Drosophila melanogaster: one gene and its partners. The protein of the gene in region 2 purifies or fractionates together with the protein of the main gene of each other region. This does not show direct contact. Each region holds a gene or a part of one and is shown on either strand. Other genes may lie near its edges.

Region 1 (10,739 bases), on a different chromosome or scaffold from region 2:
TGAGATGCTTCCTGGAGTACCGGGTCCCGCGACAGTTTATCAGCCACACATCGTAACAAGCATCGGCCAACAAAAAGGGCAGTCCATTCCGCGGTCCAGTTAGAAGCCATGAGTCCGCGGAGCCAGTCATGCCATGGTTAATCAAAACAACTGGCTTTGGTTCGCTACTTGCACATAGCTGTGATGATGGGATTCGGAAGACCGACAGTATGTAGCCATCCCTGGTGACCACAGTGTGTGTTTGCACCGGATAGTTGTGACTGCTTATGATGTCCACCTATAGGAAAAGGGATTACTAACGCTTTCAACTGGAGTCAACTTCAACGTACTTACCGCAGTTATTACTTTTGTGCGATGATGAATGCGGTGAAGCGAGTGATTCTTCCAGTTCACCTATAAAGCGTCCTTTTGGTAATATCCTTACGTTTTCTTCAACTATTGCACCTACCTCAGATAAGGCTGTGCTGTTCGATAGCCACACAAAAAAAATTCCAAGCAATATCGGCAGCATTTGGATGAGAAATGACTGCATTTTTCATGGATGATTGTAAGAAAAGGCCGAACTAATCCGTTTTATTTATTATTATTTATTATTTTTACAGAACTGCAACTTCATTTCGTATCTGACATTTGTGCTAGTTTTACCCGTTACTCGTGGATTAAAATGTGCAAGGTAGATTGTCTTTGGGACATCATTTATCTCGGCCCAAAAGTAGGCACGTCGATTGGCCATTTCTGAGGACGAGATAAATATTAGCCAAGTTGTGGACTTGTAGAGCCTACAGATTAGATGCAGAAGTACTTCAAGACGCGGAAGCACCATCGATGTATGCCATCGTTTTGATAATGTATACATTTTACATTATTTTTATACACTTACATACATGTAAACTGCTTGCCAAGCAGTGCGTAAAGGAAGAAAAGTAATCTAAAGTCGCAGGCAGATTATGGAAAAAATAACTATATATACTAATGCTAAGGAACAGTTTTTTACACAATATTTATTTTGGCGTCATGAAAACATAACAATAAATATATATATAGTTTTTTATTTTAGACTATTTAAGTAAAGACTTTGCAAAAAGATACCATGATTTAATGTAGAATATTCCTACATTCCTAATAGAAATGTCTATTGCTGTCTATTCTCAAAGTGATCAATAACTTTGATAATTGGTTCATTAACAACTTTTTTGATTAATTTGGCGAACAGAAAGTCCGAGTGGCTCCATTTTTCAAAAACAACGTCATGCAACACCGCCTTGTCCAACTTGCTGATCAGTATGTGGATGTCTTTGCGCGCCACCAAGTCGTCACCATGGCTGTGGTATATATGAATGGGCGACTGAGGGCGGACGTTTTCCAACGGATAATCGGGAGGCGTGTCCTGATTGTATAGTTTTTTATTTCTCATGACTCCGAAGTCATACGGACGGAATTTTCCAGATTTCCGGAGTTGAAGAAAGTGCTTTGGCTGTCGAGTGGAAATCGCACCAGGATGCGTTGCTAATATCAATGGTATGGCGGTCTAAAAATGTTAATCAAGGTACAATTTGGAAGTTGGAATACATTGTGGCTTACATTGTTCATATACGATGTTGGTTCTTCACTGGCCAATATGAACATAAAGGCGCACAATTTTTTAAACTTCGAGCATTTGCAAAAAACGGATAGCAGGAATCTTATAGCATCTAAGGGGCCAAAAAAACTACTGTCCTTCATGCTCATAATGATGTTCCCAAACATTTTCATTAGCTTGTTCCTTGCGTGCTTCATGAAAACGGCGGGGGCCATCATGTTGGCCGTCTTTATCATCCGGTTATACTCCGGCTTCATGCTGAGCAAAACCAGTAGGGTGGTGCATCCCTGAGAATGGCAAACGAAGTGCAACGCTTCCTCGTTTGTCGTGGACAGGATGTAGTCGATCATGGCGGGCAGGTCCTCCATTCCCATTTCGTGCCAGCTAAAGCGCCAGAAGGCATCCTGGGAAGCCTTCAGCCGGATGTGGCGCTGCGAGTAGCGGACTCCCCGGCTGTTGCTCAGCCACACGTCGTAGCAGCGATCGGCCAGCATGAATGGAAGTCCGCTCCTCGGTCCCGTCACCAGGAAGGAATCGGCCAGGCTGATCAGTCCGTGCTGGATAAGAACAGACGGCTTGAAACCGTCCTCCTTGCAGTTGGGTGATGAGGGAATCCGAAACATATCCAGAATGTATCCATCTCCAGTGCGAACCGTGTGCGTCTCCACTGAGTAGCCGTACTTGTCTATTATAAGAATCTAAGAAAACGGTCTTCGAATATGTGGTCCCACCTAACAATACCAGCTACTGACCCCAGTAATCACTTTGATGCGGTAATCTTTACCACGACCCGTAAAATTTTGGAGGCCAAACTTCACCTTCGGCATACCAGAGACGATCAACAGCCAGTCAAAGAAAATCACGAGCTCCATCAACAACATATTGCAATGGTTTGAATTGATTGATTGTAAAGAGATGTTAAGAATAGTAGAACTAATTTGCAATTTACCTTGCCGAACGACATAGCCATAAGAAAATTCAGTTGCGCTATAATCAAATAACATAAAATAATGAGAAACAATTCATGCATAAAATATAACATAAATAATAACTTTGATTTAAAGCTTCATATCTCAAAAGCTGTAAGGAAGTATATAAGTGACTAATGCTGAAGAAGTTGTGAGAGTGTAAAACAAAGGCATTTTAGCTTCAATGAACATTCGTTTATGAAGTGAAAGGTTATTTTTCATTCAACATTAAAGACATTCATCATTTCATATGGAAACTACTTTCATAAAAATGTAGGACTGCTGAGTCGCTCAAAGCTTCTAAAAATTTCAATGACCGGCTTGTTGATTACGTCAGCAACGGTCATGGAATGCACGAAGTCCGTATGGTGCCAGCCCGGTGTTGAGATCCGGTGCATCACCACCTCCGGCACTCTGGCGGCAAAGTTTTGAATATCCTCCTTTGCTGTCGAACTATCATCGTCGCTGTAGAATATGTGGACTGGCGTCAGGGGACGGACGTTGCTCAAAGTATAGTCTGGAGGTTCTAGGCTCTTGTAGTTGATCAAGTTCCTCAGGATCCCGAAATCGAATGGTCTGAACTTGCCGCTGTCCGTGAGCTGGATGAAGTGCTTGGGCTGGCGAGAAGAAACTCCCGCAGGAAGCGTGGCGGCAATCAGAGGAATAACGCTCTGAAAACAATGATATTTTAAATAAACTTATGTATAATATTATATATTGTCTTTGTGCACTTACTGTGTTTAGGTGTTTGGAAATTTTTCCGTTGGAAATCAAGAAGAAGGTTGTGCAGAACACCCTGGCAACGAATAGCCCGCATACATTACTCAAGAGTTTGTTTAAAACTCCGTTGTGGTACATGAACTCCTTGTCGGGCATGGCCATTATGAAACTCCTGAAGACGGTCTGCGAAAGGGTGCTTGTGTGGCGCATAAAGACAGCCGGAGCTAATAGGACTGCGGTCTTGACCAACTTGTTGTACTCCGGTCGCATGCTGAGGAGCACCACCAGCGTGGTGCATCCCTGCGAGTGACCCAAGAAGTGCAACGCTCTCTGCTTCGTGGTGTCCAGAATGTAGTCTATGAAAGCGGCCACGTCCTCCGTTCCAATCTCGTGCCAGCTGAAGCGCCAGAAGGCCTCATCAGAGGGATCCAAAGACACGTGGCGTCGGGAATACCGAGTGCCCCTTGAGTTACTCAGCCACACATCGAAGCAGGCGTCGGCCAACATGAATGCCAATGAATCCTGAGGTCCGTTTAGCAGGAAAACGTCCGAGGACGCGGACATTCCGTGCTGAAAGAGAACCGCCGGCTTTGGTCCAGATTGCTGACAAAATTTAGAGCCCGGTATCCGGAACGCGTCGAGTAAATACCCATCTCGTGTGAGCACTGTGTGTACTTCTACCGGATAGTTGTGCGAGGCTATAATTTCGGACTTTGATAGGAGGATTTAAAAGACATGAACTACGACTAATGATGCGTGTGCTTACTGTAATTAGTCCCTTGGCAAGGTCAATATAGAGACAAAAGAAGACAAACGCTTTGTACGACATATCGAGGAGGAATAAGTGAAAAAAACGCTGATATATGAATAATATTTATCGGTTTAACGTTAGATCTAATCTCATTTATACATTTCATCAAAAAAAAATCAATATGTAACGCTTTAACGTAAAATTTTGTGGGGAACTCTCTAGGTAATGCAGCATTTTACAGCTTATCATTAAGTGAAAGATGTTGTACATGAAAGAAAACCTACTCTTCCGTAAAAGACCGGACGTAGTCGATAATGGCGGGCTGGTACTCGATATTATTTATTATAGACTTCCTTTACAGTCGATAGGTTGCTCAAACCTTTTAAAAATTTCAATGACCGGCTTGTTAATCACATTAGCGACGGTCATAGAGTGCACGAAGTCCATGTGGTGCCAGGACGGCGTGGAGATCCGATGCATCACCGCCTCCGGCAAACTGGTGGCGAAGTTTTCAACATCCTCCTTTGCGGCGGATAGGTCATCATCGCTATAAAATATGTGGACTGGCGTCAGGGGGCGGACGTTATGTAGCGGGTAGTCGGGAGGTGTGAGGCTCCTGTAGTTGATCAAGTTCCTCAGGATCCCGAAATCGAATGGTCTGAACCTGCCGCTGTCCGTGAGCTGGATGAAGTGCTTGGGCTGGCGGGAAGAAACTCCCGCTGGAAGCGTGGCGGCAATCAGAGGAATCGCACTCTGGAAATGTTAATGTTCAGAATAAATACAATATATATTTTGACCATTCGACTTTGATACTCACTGTGTTCAAGTGATCTGAAAATTTTCCGTTGACGATCATAAAAAAGGTCGAACAGTACACCCTCACAACGAAAAGCCCACAAATTCTCCTCAGTATTTTATTCAAAATCCGGTTGTGGAACATAAATTCGCAGTCGGGCATAGACATTATGAGCGTCCTGAGAAAAATTTGTCCCAGCGTGTGTGTGTGCCCCATAAAGACGGGCGGACCTAAGAGGATTGCGGTCTTCACAAACTGGTTATACTCCGGACGCATGCTGAGTAGCACCACCAGCGTGGTGCATCCCTGTGAGTGACCCACGTAGTGCACCGCACTTTGATTTGTGGTGCCCAGAATGTAGTCAATGAAAGCGGCCACGTCCTCCGTTCCAATCTCGTGCCAGCTGAAGCGCCAGAAGTCCTCATCGGAGGGATCCAAAGACACGTGGCGTCGGGAATACCGAGTGCCCCGCGAGTTACTCAGCCAAACGTCAAAGCAGGCGTCGGCCAACATGAATGGCAATGCATCCCGAGGTCCATTCACTAGGAAAACATCCGAGGAGGCGGTCATTCCGTGCTGGAAGAGAACCGCCGGCTTTGTTCCAGATTGCTCGCAATAGATTGAGTTCGGTATGCGGAACGCGTTGAGTAAATACCCATCTCGTGTGACCACTGTGTGAATTTCCACCGGATAGTTGTGCGAGGCTATGATTTCGGCCTTGGAAAAGAGAGCGTAGCACTTGCCTATAGCTATAATTATCGACTAAAAAGCACTTACAGAAGTTATTCCATTGACTATTTGAGTACAGACACTCAGAATGACAAGCGTTTTATACGGCATTTCGAGTAAGAGTAACTTGCACAAGTCAAAATAATTCTGACCCAACTTTTAAAATTCCTGAGATAGATACTTAAAATTTAAGTGTCCAACGCTTTAACGTAGAGGGTAATCTAATTTGTAGAATTCCTATGAAAAAGTCTCAATGACTGGAGTATGCAAAAGTTCAACGTAAAATATTGTGAGATAATTTGCTATTGCCAACACCAATTCTCTGTGTACAAATATATAAGCACATATGGATTAGTTAACAGACATTGTTTTATACACCTTGTTTGCACCCTGTAAAATGCTGAAAAACTGATGATCGTCAAACAAATAGTTCGCTTCCTCGTCATTTCATTCTTGCACTTTAATTCCGTCTAGTTATATACACAATTTGTTGTCTAACTCGGCGTCCCGCCAGGAACGGGACCCATTTTGAGGTCCATGAAGCGTCGCAAAGCAAGCGCCTTGTTGGCAACCAGCGAATGAGTTAAATTGGCCAGGAGTGCTTTAGCTTGAGGCAGGTCGTTCTGTAGAGCCATGGCAACGGCCAGATTATACCGCACAACGTTCTGAGCGGCGTCCACCGACTTCAGTTGCCAGTCACGCGTCTCAAAATCGAAGGCGTTTAGTGTGCCCACAAAAGTAGGGTCCAAATGGTCGCGTGCCTCGCTGGCCTTGTCCATAAGCATCAACGCCTCGCCAGCGTACATGTGACCTAGCAATCTGAAGAAAAAAAGGTAAATATGTTAAACCAAACATGGGAAGATTAAATAGAAACTGTATTGTACTTGTGTGCATCGGACAAGCGTTCACAGGCCAGCAGTTTTTCCGACATCTCGAGCGCGGTCACATGATCGCCTAGGCGCAGCGAGACGAAGCTGTGAGCAGCATATATGGCAGCCATCATGTTTTCCAAAGACTCTAGGCTGACTGGCTTCGAGGGATTGCAGAAGTTATTGTCCTGGGGATGACGCCAACTCTCCTGAGTTGGGTCCTTGGGTTCGGGTGCTTCCACATCCTCCGAGGAGACCGCCGCCATGTGAAACCTCGTCTTGTAGTGCTGCGTAAGCGTTAACGCGCTACGTAGACACAAGACAGCGAATTCCAGCGTGGGCTCTGGAACTCCCGCCGATTGAGGACTAAAATTAGGAAAAGTTTACTACCAGCAATGAACTAAGCTAACGAATTAGCACTTACGCGTATGGCTTTGTTGATGGCGTTTCTGACTGCGACTGGCGCTCCTCCTCCACTAGTTTCTTTAAAACAAAATAAAATAATTTGAGATTTAAGACAAATAAATACCCTATTGTGACTCTATTGTACTAGAACATGTTAGTGTAAAGTTGTCTTACCGCCTCATGCTCCATGATGCAGGCCTCAGCCATGCGCAGCCAAAGACGTGGATTGCTGTGGAATTGCTTAACGGGAACCAGAAAGCACTGAAACGCCTCCTTGGGGCGTCGTAGGTGCAACATGGCCACACCGAGGTTGTAAAGGATCTCGCAGGACCGTGCCGAACTCATGGTTTGCAGCGTACTCTGGCGCAAATTTCGCGCCAGCTGCTGGTCAAAGTTGAGCGCATTTTGGAAGAACTTGGCGGCGATGGCATAGTGACGCACTCTTAAGTGTATCACTCCCATATTGTTGGCAATGCACGTGCTCAGCTGGGGGGTTATAGTGCTATTAAGATAGACAATAAAATAGTATGTCTTCTTTGAACTTAAAATGAAGCAGACTCACCCCGCTTGTGTACACTCGTTATTGATTCGCATAAGCTGCTTGGCGGCCATCTGAAAATCCTTCATGATGTAGTACTGCTGAGCCTTCAGAGCAGCGTACTCCGGCGTGCCGTCTTCCTGAATAACCACCGGTTTTCGGTTAAGCACGAGCGTTATTAGCTGCAAGAGCTGCAGACTACCGCCCAGACCGGGCACAGCTCCCTCCACAGCTGCTCCTCCTGGTGAGGCCACCACTGAACTGTTCGTCGCTGCTGACGGAGGTGCTGTGCCGACAACAGCTGCCTCTTCGGCCGCATTGCTGCTAGGCGCTGTGGCCACCAGGTTAAGCTTGTACTGCAAGTAATCCAGAAAGGCCTCGGCTCGGTTTAGTTGATTGGTGGCCAGCAGCAGCTGTAGCTGTAGTGTGGCCACCAGCGCTGCCATTGCCTTCTCCAGGGCTTCCAGACGAGCCACTAGTGGTGCTAGTTTCTCCAGTGCCGTGCCGAACATATGGCGGTGATAATAGATGACCGCCCGGTTGTAACGAGCAACAGTGGCGGCGGCAGCTCCCTGCTTAAGGCTCAGCCCGCTGGACACGTCTCCGGGCGCATCTGCATCGGCGGTTAGAGCCTCCAGTTCTTTCAGCAGGACGGAGTGTTGGGTGCACCCGGTTTTGTAGTAGCTGACCACCGCCCGGTTGTGCCGCAGGACAGGACCACTGCTCTCGCCGCGCGTCTCCAACTCCTGGAGCAGTTCCAAGCAGCGATCAAACTCCGAGCTAGAATGAGGAGCAGCCGGAAAGGAGTGGCGGTTATGGGTGCACTTCCCGGTGACACGCGGATGAACACTCACTTGTTGAACTGCTCGTGCGCCTGGCACAGCAGACTGTAGTTCTCGTCCTCGCCGGCCTGCGTTTTGGTGGGGGATTCCGCCGAGTCCATGCCAAAAATAAATAAAAACAAAAAAACCGAACCAATCCACAGATGACACAGCGTTGCCAGAATCAACAAGCACAGCGTTGCCACTTTTAACCGTAACTAAAGCGGTTAACCTTATTAATAAATAAGTTAATTCTTAACATTAAACAACTTGTTAAATTTCTTGTTAATTTATTAATTAAAAATTAAATTGTTAATATGAACAAATTAAAATATATTCTATATAAAATTTTAACTTTACAATGGTCAAATTGGCATTTTGCTGTCGATAGGTGGCAGCACATCACTAGTCTAGATTTGCAGCGCGCGAAACCTATACCTTTATTTCAACTGAGACTTTTGTTTGTGATGATATATAATATTTAGAATAATAAAATATCCATTTATCGTTTACAATTTTTGATCCACCTACCCACCCAACTGTAATTATCCTTGCATTCAATCGAAGTTTCCTGTTTCATCATATTGTTATTAATCCTCGCCTGGTTTATATGATGGGAACTACATAGATTCAACATCGACCAGTTGAAGAACAAACTTCCATCCCGCAGAATTGGCTAGGAAAAAGGCTAATATTTTATACAAAACTCAACTTAATCTTCAGTTGCGCATCATTTTCAAGCACATTCAAATAATATCAGCAGTTCAATATTTTTGAATTATTTTAATTTGATTCGAAGTACAATATTATTCACTAAACTGTTTCAAAATATTCAATAATTTGCATACACTTACAAGGGATCGATTTTGGGGTCAGGATGGCTCCCTTATTTTATTTGCTGCTTCATTACCGCTGCAATGGTTCAAAACGAAGAAACTGAGGATCGGGAAAATGGGAGGGGCAGCTCCTACTTTCGAGACTCATTTAGCGAGGGCGTAGTAGGCATGTCTTATGTACACTATTCGTAAATATGTGTATTGTGTATAATATATATATATGTGTATGTATATTGTTATGTATACCATATAAACTTGAATTTAGCATTAAAAATTCCCAATGCTGGTTTTTAACTAATCCCCGGGGGCTGAGAGGGGCTCAACATTAACTGAGCAGCAGCACTTCCCGCCTCGTATCGCGTCGCATAACAGATCCCTTCTCCACCAACCTACATCATCGCTCATCTGCTCCATCCTCCTCCAATCCGGGCAAGCACACACATTCACACGGCTTCCCATAAAGATTTCGTAGCAGGTTTGTTCGTTCGAGTTTTTGCTTCATTGCATTGCTATGGTTAGGGGGTTTCGATTGCGCCGGACTAAGCTGCTTATGTGTTCCGAATCTTGCCGGGCACGTAGTTCTTATCTATGACATTCTCCTGCAGGAACATATGCAGGCAGCGCTCGTTCTGCGCCAGCGGATGTCCGGCTATCTTGTTGATGAAGGCCTCCAGTCCCTTGCGCCGCTCCTCGATGAAGCTTTCGTCAAAGATGCCCTCGTCGCCGCGGAAGGGCATCTGCCGCTTCCATGCCTTTCCTGGGAGTGGTGGCACCACAATCTGCGGGGATATGTATGTTCATGATTAAATACTCTTCAGGCGCTTATCGAAGTTTCCGTTTTCACTTATAAAACTCAGGGTTAAGTTTCCTCTTAAGGATTGAAACTTTTCTAGTGGCTTCTTATAATTACAATGTATTGTTTCGTAATTCTATCTAAATAGATTCTGAATAGTGCGGATTTTGAATCTATTAAAGTGAAAACGAAAGACTACCGCCTGGATCACACTTGTCCGTACCTTGCTATCCCGCTCCAGCTCGTTTCGCAGCCACTCAAAGTCGCTGTAGCGTCGCCTGACACTGGACTCCTTTACCTTAAAGACGGGCAGATTGGTCTAAAAAAGGAGCGATGGTTAATCATATGTGGTGGCCAATCTTATAGAGTAATTCAATGAAAGGTCGGTGCCGCATAAAGGCACCCGCATGCCGCATTTCCGTGACTCAAGCCGTGACACTGGAATCAGTGCTCTGCACTTGTGACTAATGTTTATCGGCCGGCTCGCTTTATAGGCGTATCACCCGCACTCACACACACACACACACACACACACGCACGCACACACACATGCACAGCGAGACAAAGTCGCACGAACACATGCACACAAGTGTGTGAGCGAATTCCAGCGATTATCAATGGTTTTTTCGGTGAATTTTGGAAGGTGCATAGGTGGTGCCCCCATGTACATGTACTACGATCACTCACCCGCATCCGGACCTCGTAGTCCGTGTAGCGCTTCTTGCCCGCCGCCATGGTGGTCAGCGGATTGACCACGTCGATCTCCAGGAAGTTGGCGGGCACGGCGTACGCATCGTCCAGTGTTTGCTTCTTCACGTTTAGGCGGCGGGTGGCGTCGGCGGTTCCATCGGACTCAACCATCATAGTGGTGCAATGCCAGGGGCTCCGGATCGGCAGAGCTATAGACGCCCCTTTTATCGGTTGGAAGAAACGG
Region 2 (9,309 bases):
CTCCGGTGACGGAAACAACGCGAGCGGTCCTCATCGAGAAGTTGAGAAAGCACACGCGAGCCGACAAGCTGAAAAAGAGGAGCAACAAGTACGTGCTGTACTCCAAGGAGCAGCAAGAGTCGCCCCCATTTCCACAGTACCACCAGTACCACGCCCCACAACCGCCCCAAAACTACGCCAATGGCCTTGATAACAATAACGACCTGGACCAGACCGGAGGCTCCTCAGCTTACAATCGCAGTCTCGATGAGAGCGACTCAAGCCCGCTTCAGTTGTCCGCCTCCAAAATGTACGCCCCACCACCGGTTGTGGCTTCCAATTACGATGGAGACTGCTCGCCGCACAGCTTGGGGTTAAATGGCAAATACCTGCAGCCATGCTCCATGCCGTACGCCATAGACACGTCGAATAACTATGGCAAACCGAGCGGAAAAGCTAAGTTATCTGACGGAGGCGTGGTAAATAGACTGCTCAGCTTTCGGGATACCACGATCCAGCGGAAGTTCAACTATCCCACTGGCCAGGCGTCGAGAATCCCGCTCAGGAAAGAAAGGCTAACTCGGTTCGCTTTGTCGGACCTTAAATCCTTCATCAGGAATCCCGACATCAGGCCCTATGTAATACCACGAGTGCTAATTTCGCTGTTCTTAATATTTTTGACAATAATCACTGTCCTCTATGTGGGCAAGAGGTTCGAGCAGAGCCCCATCGATAAGGCCGCACTGAAGTATACATTATGTAACCCCAACGATATGCAAATGATCAGCGAAAAGGTGAATTGCATCGAAAAAGATTCGCTAAGGGGTGCGCTGGACATGAGCGAGGAACTCTTTAGGCATCTGAACGAGCGAGCCAGGCTCCATCACTGCAAAGACGCCAATTTGTCGCCCGCTTTGGAAATAGGAGAGTTTGTGCGGGAAATGGTCAGCAACCCAAAGACTCACAGGGGAAATCTGCACAGCAACTTGATGGCTGCCAAATATTTGATTACCGAGAATCCGCAGTGGAGCATCCAAGTGGTGGATTCAACGAAGCACCTTGGACAGACCTCGCACTTCGAGCTTTCTGAACCCAATCTGCCGCTCAAGTGCATTGTGTTGAAGAAAGTTACCAGGTTTTTCACCGTTATCGGTGCACTTCTCTTAATAGTCGCTGGATTTCTCATCGTGTACGTCGCGGTAGTAATATACCGAGTTAAGCAGAAGGAAGCCCTGTTGGCGGTCGATCAGTTCCAAAAGGACATAATAAACGAGCTAATTTACTTGAGCTCCCAGTCCGAGAGTCCCGAGGTAGTTATTAACCAGCTGCAGGAGAAGTTTCTGCCGGCCAAGAAGCGCTCAAAGCTCTTGTCTTCTTGGAACAAGGCCCTCAAGCAGCTGGAGAAAAACGATAGCCGTGTGCTGTTCGGAATGGTGAATCGTGACGGGAAGGCAATGCGCACAATTGCGTGGAACAGGAACGTTGACAAAAAGGATGTGGGGCTTGTTAAGAAGTGGCAGAGTCCCGCCTTCGATAACTCGAACAAGATTGCCAACCCGCCGACTCCCTGCCTGAAGATTAGGCACATGTTCGACTCCTCAGAGGTGGATCAGGCCAATCTGAAGCAGTCCATCGTGGAGTCGATCATCGAGAAGGTCGGCACGCGCTGCAAGATCTGCGATGTCCAGCTGGACGTGCAGTCCTGCTGCGTGTACATCCGCTGCGCCAGCGAGGAGGACGCCGGCACGATTCACAAAGAGATCAACGGCTGGTGGTTCGACAAGCGCCTGATTTCGATTAAATTCTTAAGACTGGAACGCTACCTGAGCCGTTTCCCCAAGCCCTCGGCCGAGCCACTTTACTTTCACACCAACGAGGCAGCCAACACTCACTCATAAAACACACAACTCTACATTAGATACTTAAGTTATTAAATGCGAATTTGTTTTACATGTACAGCTGGAGTTGTCGTATTTAATCGATTTATTATGAACTAGACTTTAAAACTTAAAATCTGCTAAACACTACCACTACTTAGCTAGGGAGTTGGACGACAGAGCGCTTTCCCCAGTTTCCAAGTGTTTGATAAGCCGGTACAGGGTAGCAGCCTCCTTGATTTTGCTGAAACCCACGCAGAAGGCTTCGATTTCAATGAATAGTTCCTGGAAAATAACAATAGAATAGTCACTAAGCACAGTCGAGGAAATGGTAGTAGCGCATACCCTAACGTTCACAATCTTGTTCCTAATCAAGGACTGCAGAAATACGCAAACGAGTCGCACCAGGCGAGACTGCATGTACTTGTCCTTGACTGTTTCGCAAGTCGAGATGCAATTGCTGATGTATAGGTGAATAAACTCAGTGGGCAAAGGTCCGGAGGTGGTTAGTCTGGAATGAGAGCTCGAGCATGTTAAAGAAGCCTTCAATACTCGATGTTTGGATTCCTACCGGTTGACCACCTCCATGGAGTGAAGTGTTATGTCCATGTTGACCAACACGTTGAAGTATTCAGTTATGTCGGAGGTCGTCATCAGTCTTAGCAAGATCTCAATGGAGATGAGAGGATTGCTTTCCACGAGCAGAGGTAGCTGAGATGGAAGCAATGGATAAGACATATATCTAGCAATGTTTTCGGTTCTTACCTTGTCCGGGGTCAGTCCATATTGGCGCGCAATGTCCGTGTTCTGCTTCAGCAGGTCGTCGAAGAGGATGTGCTGGTTCTGGAGGCTGAGTGGCTGGAGAAAAGCCTGCTCGATGAGGTGCTTTATGTTGGGGGTAATGTAGTTGGACTTGTCGTAGATGATCTCCACCTTGTCGCTGTTCGACTGGTTTATCCAGAGCAGCTCGTCCTCGAAGTCCATTAGGGGCGGGGCGATGGACAGAAACATGCTGGTGCGCTGATTTTAATTTACAATTATTATTATTTTCCTTGCAATTTTGTAAACAATTTTAGTGTGACCGCGTTGAGGGGTTCTTAAGAACAATCTGCACATGAGAGTGGGCCATCTGAAAAATGATGTATGCAAATGTGCGCCTAAGGGTGTTAGGTTACACACTTGTCAAAAAATAAAAATTAAAATATGAAAACAGTTCAATATTTATATTAAAGCCTGTTTCAAAGCTTCCATCGTTCCGAATCAGAGCAGTTGCACAGACTTCTGCATGCGTTAGCCATTGAGCCCTAGCGCCTGCACTCTGGTCACACTGCAACTGTTGCACGGCTGCAAATCGCAAAGCAAAATAAAATGCACCGCGCTTGAATTATCCATTTTATGGACAGAAAAAACCTTCACACACGAACAGAGAAAAATGGATCGCGGGAAAGGAAGCGGCTCCAACCGATCGCAGAAGAAGGTTCCGCTGGGCGGAGAACTCTTTGCGCTCGGCAAGAGCGTACGCGATGACTCCAAGTCGAAGATCCTGCCCATTAAGGGCATGTCGTCGTCGGACCGCAAGCGTGAAGCCTCCACCGCACTGGCCAGCTCGAGCAAGCGGTTCCGCGGCAACCTGAAGGACGCGGGCGCCCCGGACATGTCCTCCGGTAGTAGTCAGTGCGAGACGTGGGAGCAATTCGCCGTTGACTGCGATCTGGATACCGTGGTCGAGACCATATACGCGGCTTTGGAGCAGAACGACAGCGAAACTGTGGGCCGGCTTGTATGCGGCGTTATAAAGCAGACAACGACGAGCTCCTCGCGCTCCAAGGTGGACAACATTGCCCTTCTGGCCCTGATCTACGTGGCCAAGGTACAGCCGAGTATATTCTGCACAGACATAGTGGCCTGCGCGCTGCTTTCCTTCCTGCGGCGGGAGGCCAACGTGAAAATGAGGTACAACACCAACCTGCACATTCTGTTCGCCAATCTGCTGACCCGGGGCTTCATGGAGATTTCCCAGTGGCCGGAGGTGCTGCTCCGCATTTACATAGACGATGCGGTTAACGAGCGCTACTGGGCGGACAATGAACTGTGTGCCCCGCTCGTGAAGAACATATGCGCAGCCTTTAAAACCCGCACGCCCCACATCAGTCTCCTCCGCTGGGATGTGAGCTCGTCCCTGCCTTCTGGTCAAGCACACAGAGACAGCATGACTGTGGACGACGATTCCGGGGACAATTCCACACAGAGCTTGGATGCAAGTCCCTTAAATACCGAATCGGAACCAATTCCCGACGCTATGTGCACCACTAAATCAAGATTCAGCGATGCTGTGGTGCAGAAGCATGTCAGCGATGCCATTCGCGATCAGCTCAACAAGCGACAGCAGCAGGATAACTACACCAGAAACTTCCTAAAGTTCCTGTGCACCACTTCTGGCATTGCAGAGGTACGATGTCTGAGCATTTCCCGCCTGGAGCTGTGGATCCACAACGGAAAACTGGTCAAGTTCGCCCAGCAATTGCTCTCGTACATCTGCTTCAACATCAAGGGACGCAACACACAGGACAACGAAGTGCTCTTGGTGCTGGTGAAGATGCGGCTCAAGACGAAGCCCCTAATAAACCACTACATGTCCTGCTTGAAGGAGATGATTTTTCTGCAGCCGGAAATCTTGAGTACCGTAATGAAACTGGTCGTGCAAAATGAGCTATCCAACACCAGGAATCCAAACAATATGGGGATGCTGGGTAAGAGAAACAAATTTTTTCTTAAATTAAAATCATAATTCTTAATTTGAAACTTTTCCAGCCACAATGTTTCAAACATCTGCTGATCAATCAGCTGCCACTCTGGCTGAGATTTACCAGGAATTCTTGCTTCAGCGGGACGATTGCCTGCGCACCCTGCGCGTTTTCTTACGGGAGCTTGTGCGGATGCTGCGCTTCGATGTGAACCTGGTCAAGTTTTGCAAGACGTTTCTCAGTGAGCGGGAGGATCTGACTCCTCAAATCGAAATGTTCGAGTTTAAGGAGCGAATTTTCAACTCCATGGTGGACATTGTGTGTCTCTGCATGTTTCTGTCGGCCACGCCACAAGCTAGGGAAGCCAGTTTGTCCCTGAAAACCAATCGGGACACCAAAAACAACCATGCTCTGCTCAAGCTGTACAATCAGATGTCACAGATTCAGTTGGACACAGTGTCCTGGATGTACGAAACAGTACCCACGCTCTTCAAGATTCCGGCTGCGGAGTACCACCAGGCGCTGCACAAGCTGCTACTGCTGGACAGTCCGGAGCAGTATTCGCGCTGCGATCAGTGGCCGTCAGAGCCGGAGCGAGGAGCAATCCTGCGGATTATCTCTGAGACGCCGATTCACGAGGAGACCCTGCTGCGAATTATATTGATTGGCATCACCAAGGATATTCCTTTCTCTATCGCAAACACCTTTGATGTCCTGCTGCTGGTCATAAAGCGAGTTTCCGGGATGAAGGCTACCAATATTCCGGCGGTGCAGGCCAACAAATTCGACATCATCGACTTCCTGTTCAGCATGTCAGAGTACCATCATCCGGAGAACATTCGCTTGCCTGCGGAGTACGAGCCACCAAAGCTGGCCATCATCGCCTTCTACTGGAAGGCGTGGCTCATATTGCTTATGATATCCGCACACAACCCCTCCTCGTTTGGAGCCTTCTGCTGGGACCACTATCCCACAATGAAGATGATGATGGAGATTTGTATAACGAATCAATTCAACAATTCATCAGCCACCAAGGATGAGTTGCAGGTGCGTGCTTAATTATATAAACAAACTGGCGGTGCTACAATAAAGATTTTTCAGATAATAACCATGGAACGGGATCACATTCTGCAGTTCGAGACGTACTTGGCTGCCCAAACATCGCCGCATGCTGTTATCACTGAGGAAACTGCGATTCTAATCACTCAGCTCATGCTGATGGACCCGATGGGCACTCCGCGCAAAGTGCCCTCCATGGTCCTAGATCAGCTAAAGTTCCTTAATCAGACCTACAAGCTTGGCCACTTATTCTGCCGCTGCCGCAAGCCGGACTTGCTGCTGGACATAATTCAAAGGCAGGGCACCACGCAATCCATGCCCTGGCTTTCCGACTTGGTTCAGAACAGCGAGGGCGATTTCAGCCATCTCCCAGTGCAATGCCTGTGCGAGTTTCTGCTGTTCAACGCGCACATCATCAACGAGGAGAATAGCCGCGATGCCGAGTTAGTCAATTTCCTGAGAAACCTGATATTTGACGGCAATCTTAGCCACCAAATCGTTTGCGAGCTTTTGGACTACATATTTAGACGCTTGTCGTCCACGGTGAAGCAATCGCGAGTCGCCGCTCTTTCGGGTCTGAAGATAATCTTCAGGCACTCTGGCGACTTTGAAAACGAATGGCTCCTGAAGTCGCTCCAGCAAATTCCGCACTTCTACGAGGTGAAACCCTTCATAATTCCCCAGCTGCGAGCTGCCTGCCAGGTGGAGAATTGCCCGGAACTGATTATGGCGTACATTCAGTTCATCACTGCGCACACGCTCAACGATCCGGTCAACGAAATGCTGGATCATGTCATCGATATGGCGCAGCTGATTGTAGAGCGCAGCACAATGTTTCAGCACATTATCATTTCGCAGGAGGACTACGACTATGTGCCCGACGAGAACCGCATTCAGACTCTGAAGTGTCTTTTCGTCATGTTCAACAACTATATAATTAAGCTAAGGGAATACCACGAACCGTACGAGTGGACCGAGTATCCGGACCTGCTGATGGTTCAGTTTGACGATGGAGTACAGCTACCGCTCCACATAAACATCATTCACGCCTTCATTATCCTGCTCACCTATTCCAACAGCAACATGCCCGAATCGATACCCATTTTGGACTATTGGTTTCCGCCCGGACGACCAGCGCCCGTCGCCTTTCTGCCCAGCATGCCGCAGGAGCAGGTGCAACTGCTGCCCGACTGGCTGAAGCTGAAGATGATCCGCTCATCGGTGGACAGACTAATTGAGGCAGCTCTCAACGATCTAACGCCGGATCAGATCGTGCTCTTTGTGCAAAACTTTGGCACGCCGGTCAACTCGATGTCCAAGCTGCTGGCAATGCTGGACACCGCTGTACTGGAGCAGTTTGATCTGGTGAAGAATGCCATTCTGAACAAGGCCTATCTGGCCCAGCTAATCGAGATTCAGCAGGCGCGGGGTGCTAAGAATGGGCACTACACCGTACAGGCCTTGGATCTGCATTCCCACTCGCAGACTGTGCCAGATCTGCCCAAGATCAGTGTGGTTATTCAGGAGGCCGTTGAAATTGATGATTACGATTCTTCAGACTCGGATGATAGACCCACTAACTTCCTGGCCACCAAGGAGGTAGCCCAAACCATTCTCACGCAGCCCGACCAGTTGACTGAGTCGCGAAGTGACTGCCGATCCTTGATTCAAAAACTGTTGGACATGCTAGCAAGCCCGAACAGCAATAGAGCGGATGTGGTTAACGCCATAACAGAGGTGCTAGCCGTGGGTTGCAGTGTCACGATGAGCCGTCACGCCTGCACATTTTTAAGGACTTTCTTCAGCTGCATGCTGCACAGCGACAAGTATCACATACTGGAGAACGCTCTCCAAAAGAACTTAAGTATGTTTAAGCACACATTCGCCGACTCCAGTCTGCTGCAGAAATCCGAACTCTATCATGAGAGCTTGGTGTTCATGCTGAGAAACTCTCGCGAGATTTATGCGCAGCAGTTTAAGGCGAATACCGCCTTGGTGGCACGAAAACGGATCGTCCGGGCGATCGTCCAAAGCTTCGATCAGACCAAGGACAGCAAGACCGTCGCCAAGTCCAAGAGCGACCAGCTCTTCCACAACGGGCTCTTCATCGACTGGCTGTCCGAAATGGATCCCGAGATAGTTTCCACTCAGCTAATGAAGGAGCGCTTTCTGTTCTCAAAGTCCTGCAGCGAGTTTAGGTTCTATCTGTTGTCCCTGATCAACCACCAAACCAACTGGGACACGATCGAAAGGATTGCCGAGTACCTGTTCAAGAATTTCCATGAAGACTACGACTACGCCACCGTCCTCAACTACTTCGAGGCACTGACCACCAATCCGAAGCTGTGGAAGGGACGCGACAAGTACATGTCGAAGAACGTACGGCCGGATGCCTTCTTCATGCTGAGGACTTCTGAACTGGAGCCGTTCTCCCACTTCATCCTTCACGAAGGGCTTTCCGAGGTCAAGCTGGACAGCAAAAACTATGATTTCAAGCTCTGCTCGCGAATGAACCTACTGTTTAAGCTCACAGAGAAGCGACGAGACCTCATGGTCAAGGTAATGGAGCACGTGGAGAAAAGTTCGGTGTCCGACTACTTGAAACTGCAGGTCCTCCAGCAGATGTACATCATGTATCCGCGCATCAAGTTTCTGAAACCGGGCAAAACCGGCGAGCAGGCGTACAAATTGCAGAATCTGAAGGGCTGCCAGGCGGACAAGGTGTCCAACAATCTGATCACCTGCTTGGGCAGTCTGGTGGGCAAAAAGGACTTTGAAACCCTGTCCACGGACACCGAGCTGCTCCTTCGCAAGCTGGCTGCCTCCCACCCGCTTCTCTTCCTTCGCCAGCTGGGCGTGCTGTCGTCCATTATGCAAGGTCGGGCCCAGCTCAGCATGAAGGCCCTGCGCGAGGAGCACCACTTCCACCGATTTGTACAGATCCTGAGGACGCTGGAGCTGCTGCAACCAACCATCTTTGAGGAGGCGTACAAGAACGAGATCCAAAACACGCTGTCGTGCTACTTCAACTTCTTCAAGCACCACAGCAACGTAAAAGAGGCCTGCCAAATGCTGAACAAGTTTGTGCAGATGCTCCAAGCCTACATCAACTACAATCCCTCAAGTGCTCTGCTCTTCATCGAACAGTACGTGGGCATCCTGAAGGAACTTGCAGCCAAGTACACCTCACTAGGCAAACTGCAGGTTTTGGTCCAGGCCGTTGCCCTGCTGCAGCACAAGTCGCACTCGGCGACGGAATTGGACGACGAGGAAGTTAAGTACGAGTACGATCTGGATGAGCATTTCGATGTAAAGCCATCGGCCAGCAAGCCCGTGGTAACAGAGGATCCCATCGAAGTGAATCCGCAAACACCCATCGATCCAAGCAGCAGTAGGGGTCCCTTATCGGTTCTAACCTTGGGCTCGTACAGCCGGTCGAACTACACGGACATATCGCCGCACTTCCTCGATCTGGTCAAGATCATAAAGCAGTCCAACACGGAGGACGTGGTCTTGGGTCCCATGCAGGAGCTGGAGTGCCTCACTTCCAAGAGATTTGTGTTCATCAACGAGCTGTTCGAACGACTGCTCAACCTTATATTCTCGCCGAGTGCCCAGATCCGGTCCATCGCCTTCATCATACTGATCAG
Region 3 (10,521 bases), about 14 Mb from region 2:
AGAAACACTTTGTTACCGCTCGCTCTGTGTTTGGAGCACCGAAACTATTGTTCAGCAAGCCAAGGATACGGAGATGGATGTTTTGGTACATCTTCATTTGCTCCATGTTTTCATGCATATTGACCAATCCTTCGGTCAAACCCTCGACCGCGCGGGTCAGCAGATTAAAGGCAGACTCTTGGTCACGCAGTCGACGCGTCGCTATCAGGGCGTTGAGTAGCATGTGCATCTTGCTAGCCTGGATCTGGAGTGTCGGCACTCCGATTGCCGTGTTCATGAAGGCCTCCATTTTGCTAGCCAGTTCCCCGTATACCATGCTATCATCATTAGCAAACACATTTGGCTGAGACAAATCCGTCGGCTTGGGCACAAACAGGGCAATATCGCGATCGCTCATCTGCTGGAAGCCAGGTATGCTTCTAGCGAACTCCGAGTACACAGCATAAAGTGTAGCTGGAGCCGCGCCCACCTTGATGCGCACTGCTTCTGGAAGACGCTCCTGTTGATAGGTGAGGATCTGGGCGTCCACAAAGCGGTTGCCCTCTTCACGAGCAATTTTTCTGGTCTCGAAATCGGTGCTTAGACGCCTATCGATCTCTGCGGCTGCCTTTTCAGCAGATGTTTTCTGAATGAAAGCGCAAACTAGCTCAACATTTTCGCTGGCTAACTGCATAGCAGCAGCTTGGATCTCAGCCATGCTGGGCATCCCATTTAGACCCGACAGCAAGGCCTTGTGCAGATTCTGGCTAATAGCACGCGCTATCTCATCCTTACCGGTAATCATGGCCATGCCGGCGGCAAGGTTTCGTACCATCTGATGAGCGGCAGTGCGCATTCGGTTCTCGTCAGCATCCAGGGCGAAGTCCTTGCGGATGATCTGCTCGGTGGTGGCACAGGCAATGCGGATGCTTCGGTCCACAATAGGCTGCAACCAGTCGGTTATCGTGCGCTCCACGGCGTTGACGACCATGTGTTTGATTCCGGGATTGGCGTGCAGGAACGGAGTATTGGGTGGCAGTACCAACTGCTGACCAATAAGCTGGAAGTTGCTCACGTTTACGTCCACGTATGAATAGCGCGGCTCTGGTGGCGGTAGTGCCACCTGGCTGGAATCGGTGGGTAGATTGGGCGAAGATACCGATCCAGGAGTACTATTAGCTCCGCCCGCTGCCATCATCATAGCGGCCGCATTTTGAGCGTCCACGTCCGCAGAGGATGGCGGTGGAGGTACCTGCTGCTGCGGTGGTTGCTGCTGTTGTGGTGGTGGCGGAGGTTGTGCCGGGGATTGCTGTTCACGCGGTAGAGCTGGCGCAGAAGCCACTGGCTCAAGTTGTTTCGGTTTTGGTTGCGACATCTGCTCTTCAATCCGGTGAGTTCGATTGGGATCCTTCAGGTAGATCACTTGTCGCAACTTGGCCAACTCCAGATTAAGTGTTTTACAGAGTACTTCGATTTCAAACTTCAGGTTCAGCTTAAGGTCTGGCTCCTGGTGAAGCTCAGCAAGCACGTACATGATACCCATTGTCCATGGATTGGGCGATCGGAAGATGCGAGACTTGGCGGATGACTCAAGGATCTTGGCTACGAAAGGAACCACAAAAAGCAGTTCCTGCTGGCCCTTGTGGTAAGCCTCAGCCAAAAGGGATTTAAGATCCAGATCCAACTGCAGGATGGGGCGATTGCGACCTAAGGTCATCATGCCCAACCAGTGTCCGAGGTTCTTCAACAGACTTCGATCGGAGAAATTAATAACTCCCTTATCGGAGCGCAAGAGTACCTTGATGTTGCGTAGGGTCTCTTTGGTTACGAATCGGTTGATCTCGCCGTTTTTAAGGGCATCCAAAAAGTTGTAATATAGTGTGTGGAAGTTGAACTCCATTGATGCGCGTTTGAGGACCAGATATTGCGCTAGCCACGGCCAATACTCCTTGGTCATAATCTCCTTTATCTCATCGCACTTCTGCGGTATGTTCAGCTGGCTCAAGTTGTTGAAAATAAAGGCAGTTTTGTCCTGCACAGGCTCTGGTGGCACAGTCACTTTCTCTTCCTGGTTGGCCACCAAAAGTGTGTCGATATTGGTGGCATTGGCGATGGACTTCATTCTCGTGGCATGCGATACAGCAGCGTTTGATTTCGGTCCCGATCCCGGGGTGGCAGCGGGCATATTACCTACAGAGGAATGAGTGGAAATCAACGTTATTCTCTGCGGAAATTGATTCTTTATAATATAGCGCTTTCCTTAGTATCCAATGTTCTTACTTAATTATATTAATCGACTTGTTTTGTATACTAATCATAATTACCTAACATGGAGCTATTCCTGTAAATTGGTTCCGTTCCTGGTCCGCTAGATATCGCCGAAGGAATCGTATTGCTGAGTCCAATCAACTTCTGCGGCGGCGGCTCCTGGCCGTGCATTCCGTATTCCACATACTGAATAAGGTGCGGCGGGAAGTCAGAGAAGTGAGGAATGGAGCGGATATGCTCGCAGTATTTGTTGTAGGTGTGCAATCGAGTTCTGAATCTGTCCAGTGCCGTCACACCGAAATAGTAAAGCTTAGATCCATCGGGCTTGCGGAGGGCATCCAAGACACAGCGCAGAGAAAGGCCCAGTGCAACAAAAGTGGGCACCAGGTTACGATCAATAATGCCACCAAATAGCTGCGCAGTAATCTGTAGCTCTTTCTCTGGGTATTGACAGAAAAAGCGATATTCCTCGAACAGATTGCGCAGCATGCACAAAAAGACTTCCTGCTCGCGCCGGTTACTTGACTCTTTAAATCTTTGCAAAATGTCCAGCACTTCATCGATGGACAGCGTTGGATTCGGCTGGTGGTTGTAGATGCGCTGAAAGTATGAGTTGACCTCGTCTTCAACTTCCTTTGACACAGGTATCTGGAGATCGGCCATCACAGGGTTGTTTGGATTGGGGGCCGTTGGAGTCGGCGTTGGAGTCTGCTGTTGTGGACCCCCTGGCAGCATGCGGCCTAGGTTTCCTACGTTGGGTGGTGGCGGAGCCTGCGGCATCTGCATGAGGTTCAGCGGATAGGGATTGGCTCCCGGAGTCATCAGACGCGATGGAGAAGCTGAAATTGCACGTAGAATTTCGTTAGATAGGATTAAGAGGCATCTGTGATAGATTATGCACTCATTGCCTATGAATGCCACTTACTTAGCATGTTTCCAAAATTAAATGCTCCGTTCGGGCCGCTGAGGTTGAGGCCGGCTAAGTTGTTGGACATATTCGTTAGCGGATCCATTCCTGGTCCAAACATCTGCGCGTTGAGGTTTCCGGAGAACGGTTGCTGCGGTGGCGGAGGGACTATGCCTCCAGGCAGATCCATACCACGATGGCCGCGCAGAATTGTTGGTGGAGGCGGCGGAACCAATCCTGGCTGCTGCTGCTGTTGGGCACGCGCCTTGTTAGCCATAATCGCCACGTTCGCGGTCATTTGCATGATGACTTCGACCATCTCCGGCTGCATGCAGTTATTGATGCACGTTTGCAGACAGTTGATCATGGTGGTAACTGTCTCGGGCAAAAGCTGCGCCTGCTTGGGAGGCAGCTGATCCTCTGGCACTTTTGCGTTGATAACCTGCGGGCAGCGGCGGTGCAGAACCTTGATTATAGCCTGCATAAAAGGCTCTCCATGTTCGCGAATTTTATCGGTAAGCCACTTTTCCAGCTTCAGGTACTCGCGCCGAGAGGCAAGGCAAGCCAGGTCGATAATGAATAAAAATGAACGGGCGTTGAGCAGCGCTGATAGCGCTTTTAAATCCTGGGCAAGATCCAGGATGCGCGACAGTTTCACCTGATCGAACTCATTGCCTCGGAGATACCACTCGGACATAGCATTCATGATATTGGAACGAAGTTGGAAGTTGTTCGAGCTCCAGGCGCTGGCCAAGATCACGTTCGAGTTGGGATGGTTGCCAAGGAACGTTGGTATCAGTTGGTTAAACAGATCCTGACGCAGTGGCGTCATAGGCGGACTTGTGTTCAATAAGGCCAAAAATAGCACATCGGGACAGTTCTGCGCTGGGAACTTGAATAGCTCATGGACCTGCGTATAGTATCCCTTGTCCGCAATGGAGAGCAGCACCTCCACCAGGTGAAGCGACTTCCAGGACGAGATCTCCTTATTGTCCGCATCCGGAGCCGTCTTAAGCACATCCAACGCTGGCTGGCTAAATACAAAGTCGGCGAAGGAAAAGAGATCCGGGTTCTTCAGCATTGTCGCGATAAGCGACAGCTGACCTTCCGTGTTTGCCCAGTGACGGTAAATGCATTCTGGATGTGGAAATATGTTAGAGCCAGTGGCCAGCCGAAGGATGGTGAGCAAAAGCTCCAAACCGATGCGATCCTTCAGCACGAACTCGGGATGATCAAGTTCTAAAAATTAAGAATGATATTCCTATAGATTGGCGATTGCGAAGCAATTATCTAGCTATTACCCATGCACACGTCCTTCCAGTTGAGCTGAGGCACCACCTCCTTGAGCGCCTGCACAAAGACATCTGGCTTCCAAGTTTGCGTGGCCTCCGTCGTCTCCTTCTTGTCCTTCTTATCACTGGACGAATTGCCATCGCTGCCATCGTTGTTGTTACTGCTGCCCGGGTTCTGTTGCTGCGGAGTGATTTGTGTCTGCGAAGAGCCACTGCTGTTGCTGCCACCGCCCTGTCCCTGACCAGGCCAGAAGTTCGCCGGCGTCGGTAGATTCACATTACAATCGAGCAGGGAGGAGTGCCGTCGGCACATAAGACCCACGATCTTGGCGACATCTTTGGACTGGAGCTCAGCGCGTTCTCGCTCGCGGGAACACAAATGATTCTTACACTCTTCAACGCTCGATGTAAATTCATAACCGATTTCAAGGATTAGATTAATCCAAGATGTGTCCATAATATTATTTTTGCCCTGCAACACAACATTCAATTAGCGAATTGTCTTTTTCAATGAGTGTCTTACGCACCTGGTTGGTGAATATTATCTCGCTTAAATGGTCATAAATATCCTCGATTCCCACCTCGTTCAAAGCATCTGCTTCGAAACTGGAGCTGTTGCTATTAGTCGTCGCTTCGGCCTCCGCATCCGTTTCGCTGGCACCTGCTCCCGCAATCGTCGCCGTCGTCGAGCCGTAAAGGAACGGCGCTAGAACCAGCGGTACCGCCTGGCGCGGAAACTCCTCACGAAGCTTGATCAAAAACTGTGCTTCCACCTGCGGTTGTACGTACTCGCTAAGGCAGCACAACAAATACTGCAGTAGATCGAAGGAGATCTCCCGGAGACCGCTGTCGGCTGGGCCGGTGCCTTTATTACCCAAGTAAGAGTCTATAAGTTCGCTGAGGCTACCTTTTAGGTTGTTCCTGGCAGAATGTTTGAGTTCTGTGTACGAGGAGTGGGTCAAGGCCAAGGCAAAGACGCACTCACAAACCTTGTTGATGCCGGTCAGTCGGGCGACCTGGCCAACGAGATCCGCTACCGCAACAGGCTTCAGGGACTGCTTAGGAATGAGTATCCATAAGTAATCAACACATTGTGGGCATTGTAAACTCAACTTACCTTCTGGTTGCTGGCGAAGAACTGGTCAAAAGCGTAGCAGATGTTGGACACAAACGATGAACTGTGAAGCTGACGCTCCAACTGGATGCCCAGGAGCTTCGCCTGCAGCTGGACCGTAACTGATGGCACGAGATCGCTGAAGTTGATCACGGAGAACAGGTGGCGCAGGCTGCTGCGATCCGCTTCCAGGCCGTGCTCTTTAACGAACTGCAAGATGTCGTAAATGCTATCAGTAATGTATGGTTTAGAATCAAAGAGCTGCATTGCGTAGGGTTTGGAAGCCAATATAAGTGCCTTGACAGCGACTGCCCGCAATCTGGGACACATATCACTGTATAAGGGACAGTGTATGTTTCAAACGATTCCTCAGATTCTGCGGTGACCGGGATTTTTTTTTATGTGATTTTCATCGCAAACTTGGAAATTTTGACAGGTTCTATTATGTTCTGTGAGTGTCTCAACTTTTCTCTGTACAATTGGATATGTGTTTACGGATACAGGGCAAGATGTAAAGTAACATTTTGGAGGGATTATTTCTAACTCCAGGCAACTGTTTTCAAAAGTAAATCCATTAAGTCATTATTTCTTGCCCGCTTAAAAACTTTACCCAATTGGCTTTTTAAAAGCGCAACCAGAGGGTTAAAACATGAATTTTATCATTGGGAATTCCAGTTTAGGTGCACCATTGTTGGGCTCACAGGTTTCTGAGATTATCTTGAATGCTATAACTAAATGGAAGACTATATCTCAAATTGGGCTATCGTTAAGTTAGTTAATGTATTTTCTATCCGATAATTTCTCCATGGAATCCAACAAATTCCTAGACCTTTCTTACTATAAATTCCGTTGGGTTATCCTAGTACTTCATTCCAACATTGAATATCAGTGAAAATTTGGTAATCCTACTGAGTTCGAATAACTTGAAAACTTATCAGGCTTTTTAAATGGCAGATATAGATTGTTGAGAATTTCAAAATACTGAAGTATATGACTCTGTTTTGTTATCATTTTTTTTTATCATTTTTTTTAATTTTTGAGGAATATGCCATTTACTGTCAAGAAAACGGGATCTGTAGCATAGTTTGTCCCACAAACGATTACTTTTTAGGGGATTGTTGGGCAAATGGTGCCATTCTAAGCCAAGTATTTGTTATGATACTAATTTGAATGGCAAAACTTTTCTAGGAGGCTAGATATCCCCCTCCCTCCCTACGGATCCAAAACTGTTGAAATATTTGATCCGGAGCTCGGAGTCCGGAATCAAGGCCTCACTCCGAACGGGGGAGCGAGACAACAGCTTTGGCCCCGCCGTCGCAGCTGCTCCACAACAAATTACACACGCGCCCTCTCGCTCGCACACGTTGGCGAAACGTTACATGGGTAAGGAGAGAAGAGAGCATGACGGTGCGCGAAAGGAAGGGGGTCACAGGAAAAAGTGCGACATATTGCAACTCTAGCGAAAAGAAAGCGGCCGCAATTGATATTCCCACGCAATTTGTCCCACGAACTTACTATTCAATTTGGTTTCTCTCGTTTGGCAATGAAAAAACAGAAGTTTCGGGGCCGAAAAGCCCTGCGCTTGGCTTGGGCTTCCCAATTCGAATTTCGCAATTCGATTTCGCACTACTACGCTGCAAAATTCACACTGCCATCAACTCACGAAACACGTTTGTGGCTAAGCGCACACAATTGGCCTGGTTTTACACATTCTATAAAACTTTTAGCTTAAACAAAACGCTCACAAAACGCGCAACGCCGTGCAGAGAAATTTTTTCAGCTGCCTTTACCAAAAAACTGTAATGGCGTCGGCAAAAATGCACGAGCGAGTGAAATGGCAATAGCCCATTCGTGAGTGCGAACAATTGGCAACTCTGGTTGGCCAGGTGCGATATGTTGTCGGTTTGGCAACACTAAACCCCCGCCCCCTACAAAATGTTGTTGTTATTGTTGACAAAATGAATTGGAAATGGTTCATGGAAACTTTGGTAGAATAACTTGGGCACCTACCTGATTTATTTGCTCGCTGCTCTCATTAAAATTTCGCTTGTTCACGTGCTTGACCAGATTTCGAATGTGCGTTGGCGGTGTCTTCAGTTGGCTCTCTACGTTCATAATTCTACGTATCAGTTGTCAATTCCTCAGCGGATGTTTCTTGTTGCTGTTGTTTTTGTTGGAGGCCACCAGAATTTTTTGTTCAGCACACACGTTTAGCGTGCACTGGTATTGGAGATTAGAGATATTTGACGTATTCGCTGTTGCTTCTTGGCGCTTTTCATTTCACCTACGGCGCAATTTGTTTTTGTCTCTGCCTTCCTTGGTTTTTTTTTGTTCTTTTTTGGGTCTGTAGATTCATTGGCCGCGGCCCCCGTATAAAAGGGGCCATCAGCAGCTCTACATTGCAGGCGGCATCTATTTACGCGTAAATCAAATAAACATTAAACTCGGTTTAATGGTTTCATGAGAAAAATCCGATTGGCTATGTCCTCGGCCCAGTGTGTACAATATTGCAATAGCTCACGTAATGAAACAATATGAATCAATCCGCACGTACAGCGAAAACAGAAATGAAAAAATACTACTACTACCACACACACGCACGCACACACGGGCAATTGAGGCAGAATATATGGCTGATCGTCGTCGACCTCCTTTTCCACTTCCTTCCGGTTGCTTTGGTGTTTCAAGTTTAGCTTTTGGGCTCGTTTGTATATGTATGCTAGGAAAATTACTTCAAATTTGTTTGCACTCGTGGATTTTTTAATTATTGCCGAAATGAAAATTTTGCATTCCCTGGGAAGCGTGTTCAGCAACCGATAGTTCAGTCACTACTGCTTGGCACTCACAACGAATAGTGTTACAAATCACGGGTTTGTGATTAAAATATAGAAATCCATAACGCCATGTGGAACTTATACCAGAAAAGCTGTAATACTCTTTTGAATTACCAAAAACGGCGGCAAATCTTGCCGATTAGTAACGGATAAATAGCCGATGTTTTTCCGTTAAATTTAAACTAGTAATAAATATACAATAAATTCAAATGCTAATACATAAATTACGCCTTAATAAATAAATATCAATAATAAATAAGAATAACACAATTGCTTAATCTTGTAGCGTCAAGCAATTTTAACTTCTTATTTTAATGTTTATCGTAAAGATGTTTCCGCAAAGGTAATTTATTATTAACCTATTATATAATATTTACAATTTTTTAAATGTTGGGTTCAATAATTTGAATATGCATATGGCCACAGTAGTTCCAACCGCGAGTCGGTATTTTTTGGGGGCCCTCCGTCCGGTCACACCCCGCCCCATCCACATGCAGCCCACTCCGCCCCCACATAGTGTACATAACAAACGGGCTTAATTGGCAATTTAGCAAGCAGTCAGTTAAATGTGCGCGGCAGGCAGTCCCATCGTCAGTGCTCTCCTTCGGCAGAATGTGCTCCTGCGAGCTGGTGGTGTCCTCCGGAGCTGGGACCCCATCTCCTCCAGCCTGTCCCCCTCGCCGTGCAAACCAAACTATAGTTTCGAGGCGCGCGCTTTCGCGTCGGACGCTGGAGCTTCCGCTCCAGCTGCAACCGCCCAGATCTCGCACCCAAAAACAGTGAGTGATTTCCAAAAGCTTCACGAAGCCACCAAAAAGAAGTTCCAATGTAAGCCTCAACCAGTCGCAGGCATATGCATATATGCGTAGTATGTGCACGATCTATAAATACCCAGCCGCAAAGTGGTCCCATTAGTAACATACCCTCCCGTTTCGCACCACTTGACATTTTCAGCCAAGAAGCTGCCCTCCGATGTGCATCCAGATGCGGTCTTCGCCTGCAACGAGCTCGATCTCAGCGAGGTGCAGGTGTACGGATTCGATTACGACTACACGCTGGCCTGCTATAAGCCCATCCTGGAGGACCTGCTGTACAATCTGGCTCGCGAGATGCTGGTGAAGAGGTTCCGCTACCCGGAGGACATCCTCCAGCTGGAGTACGAACCGAACTTTGCGGTACGCGGCCTGCACTACGACGTGGAAAAGGGGCTGCTGGTGAAACTGGACAGTTTCCTGCAGCTACAGCTGGGCTCGGTATACAGGGGACGTACCAAAGTGGAGGCGGATGAGGTGCTGAAGCTCTACCACAACCGCCTGCTGCCTATTGCCTACGTGGAGGGGCCGAACAATAGCTACAGGGTTCGTATCGATATCTTATCACCTGGCGGCTTACGCTTGGGTTTTGTGTTTAGCAATCAGTGATTTACGATCTCCTTTCGCACAGCATAACACCAACTCCAAAATGGTGCAATTGGCCGACCTGTTTTCTGTACCTGAAATGTGCCTGCTGTGCAATGTAATCGAATATTTTGAACGCAATCGAATCGACTACAATCCAGAGATTGTTTTCCATGACACCAGGACCGCCATGGGCTCCTGCCATCCCATTATGCACGGCAAGGTGATGCGGAACACTGAGAAGTACATAGAACGAAACCCGAAGCTGGTCAAGTTCTTCGAGAAGCTGCAGCAGGCGGGCAAGAATCTCTTTCTAGTCACCAATAGCCCGTACTCGTTTGTGTAAGGGAATGTGACATCTTTTATTTTACCACAATTAAAATTTACGAAATCGTTATGTCTGCATTTGTAGAAACTGTGGCATGTCCTTTCTGGTCGGCGCCAACTGGCGTGATTTCTTCGATGTGGTCATCGTGCAGGCCCGCAAACCAAAGTTCTTTACGGATGAATCTCGACCAATAAGGCTATTCGACGAGCGAACGCAGTCACACCTATGGGATCGGGTATTCAAGCTGGAGAAGGGAAAAATCTACTACGAGGTAAGGGTTTCCCATTCCCACTTGGTTAGTAATCAACCCTGTTGTCTGATGTTCTTCACAGGGTTCGGTGAGACAGCTTCAAGAGCTGAAGGGCTGGCGTGGTCACTCTGTGCTCTATTTCGGAGATCATC

Evidence for each region.
Region 1: the proteins of Not11 (region 2) and Not10 purify together in Drosophila melanogaster (affinity purification with western blotting; one study listed by BioGRID). This does not show direct contact.
Region 3: the proteins of Not11 (region 2) and Not1 purify together in Drosophila melanogaster (affinity purification with western blotting; one study listed by BioGRID). This does not show direct contact.

What each region holds. Positions count from the first base shown.
Region 1 is NT_033777.3:12,628,274-12,639,012, reverse strand, and holds Not10 (CCR4-NOT transcription complex subunit 10), read right to left. Parts: upstream 8,367-10,739; 5' UTR 8,299-8,366; coding exon 8,210-8,298; intron 8,136-8,209; coding exon 7,380-8,135; intron 7,320-7,379; coding exon 6,992-7,319; intron 6,896-6,991; coding exon 6,837-6,895; intron 6,779-6,836; coding exon 6,428-6,778; intron 6,363-6,427; coding exon 6,038-6,362; 3' UTR 5,825-6,037; downstream 1-5,824. Other genes in the region: CG11608 (uncharacterized protein), read right to left, coding at 1-277, 334-393, 449-532; CG11600 (uncharacterized protein), read right to left, coding at 1,133-1,528, 1,582-2,277, 2,332-2,460; CG11598 (uncharacterized protein), read right to left, coding at 2,811-3,218, 3,283-3,978, 4,034-4,096; CG18530 (uncharacterized protein), read right to left, coding at 4,361-4,771, 4,836-5,531, 5,592-5,654; Snx3 (sorting nexin 3), read right to left, coding at 9,561-9,791, 10,029-10,124, 10,493-10,669. UniProt on the Drosophila melanogaster protein: Component of the CCR4-NOT complex which is one of the major cellular mRNA deadenylases and is linked to various cellular processes including bulk mRNA degradation, miRNA-mediated repression, translational repression during translational initiation and general transcription regulation.
Region 2 is NT_033778.4:24,034,774-24,044,082, forward strand, and holds Not11 (CCR4-NOT transcription complex subunit 11), read right to left. Parts: upstream 2,936-9,309; 5' UTR 2,868-2,935; coding exon 2,622-2,867; intron 2,568-2,621; coding exon 2,428-2,567; intron 2,368-2,427; coding exon 2,010-2,367; 3' UTR 1,947-2,009; downstream 1-1,946. Other genes in the region: MAN1, read left to right, coding at 1-1,877; IntS1 (integrator 1), read left to right, coding at 3,289-4,606, 4,668-5,647, 5,702-9,309.
Region 3 is NT_033778.4:9,570,615-9,581,135, forward strand, and holds the start of Not1 (Not1), read right to left. Parts: upstream 6,082-10,521; 5' UTR 5,891-6,081; coding exon 5,564-5,890; intron 5,505-5,563; coding exon 4,974-5,504; intron 4,919-4,973; coding exon 4,456-4,918; intron 4,394-4,455; coding exon 3,173-4,393; intron 3,087-3,172; coding exon 2,304-3,086; intron 2,170-2,303; coding exon 1-2,169. Other genes in the region: Nt5c (5' nucleotidase C), read left to right, coding at 8,961-9,222, 9,349-9,752, 9,838-10,133, 10,204-10,390, 10,452-10,521.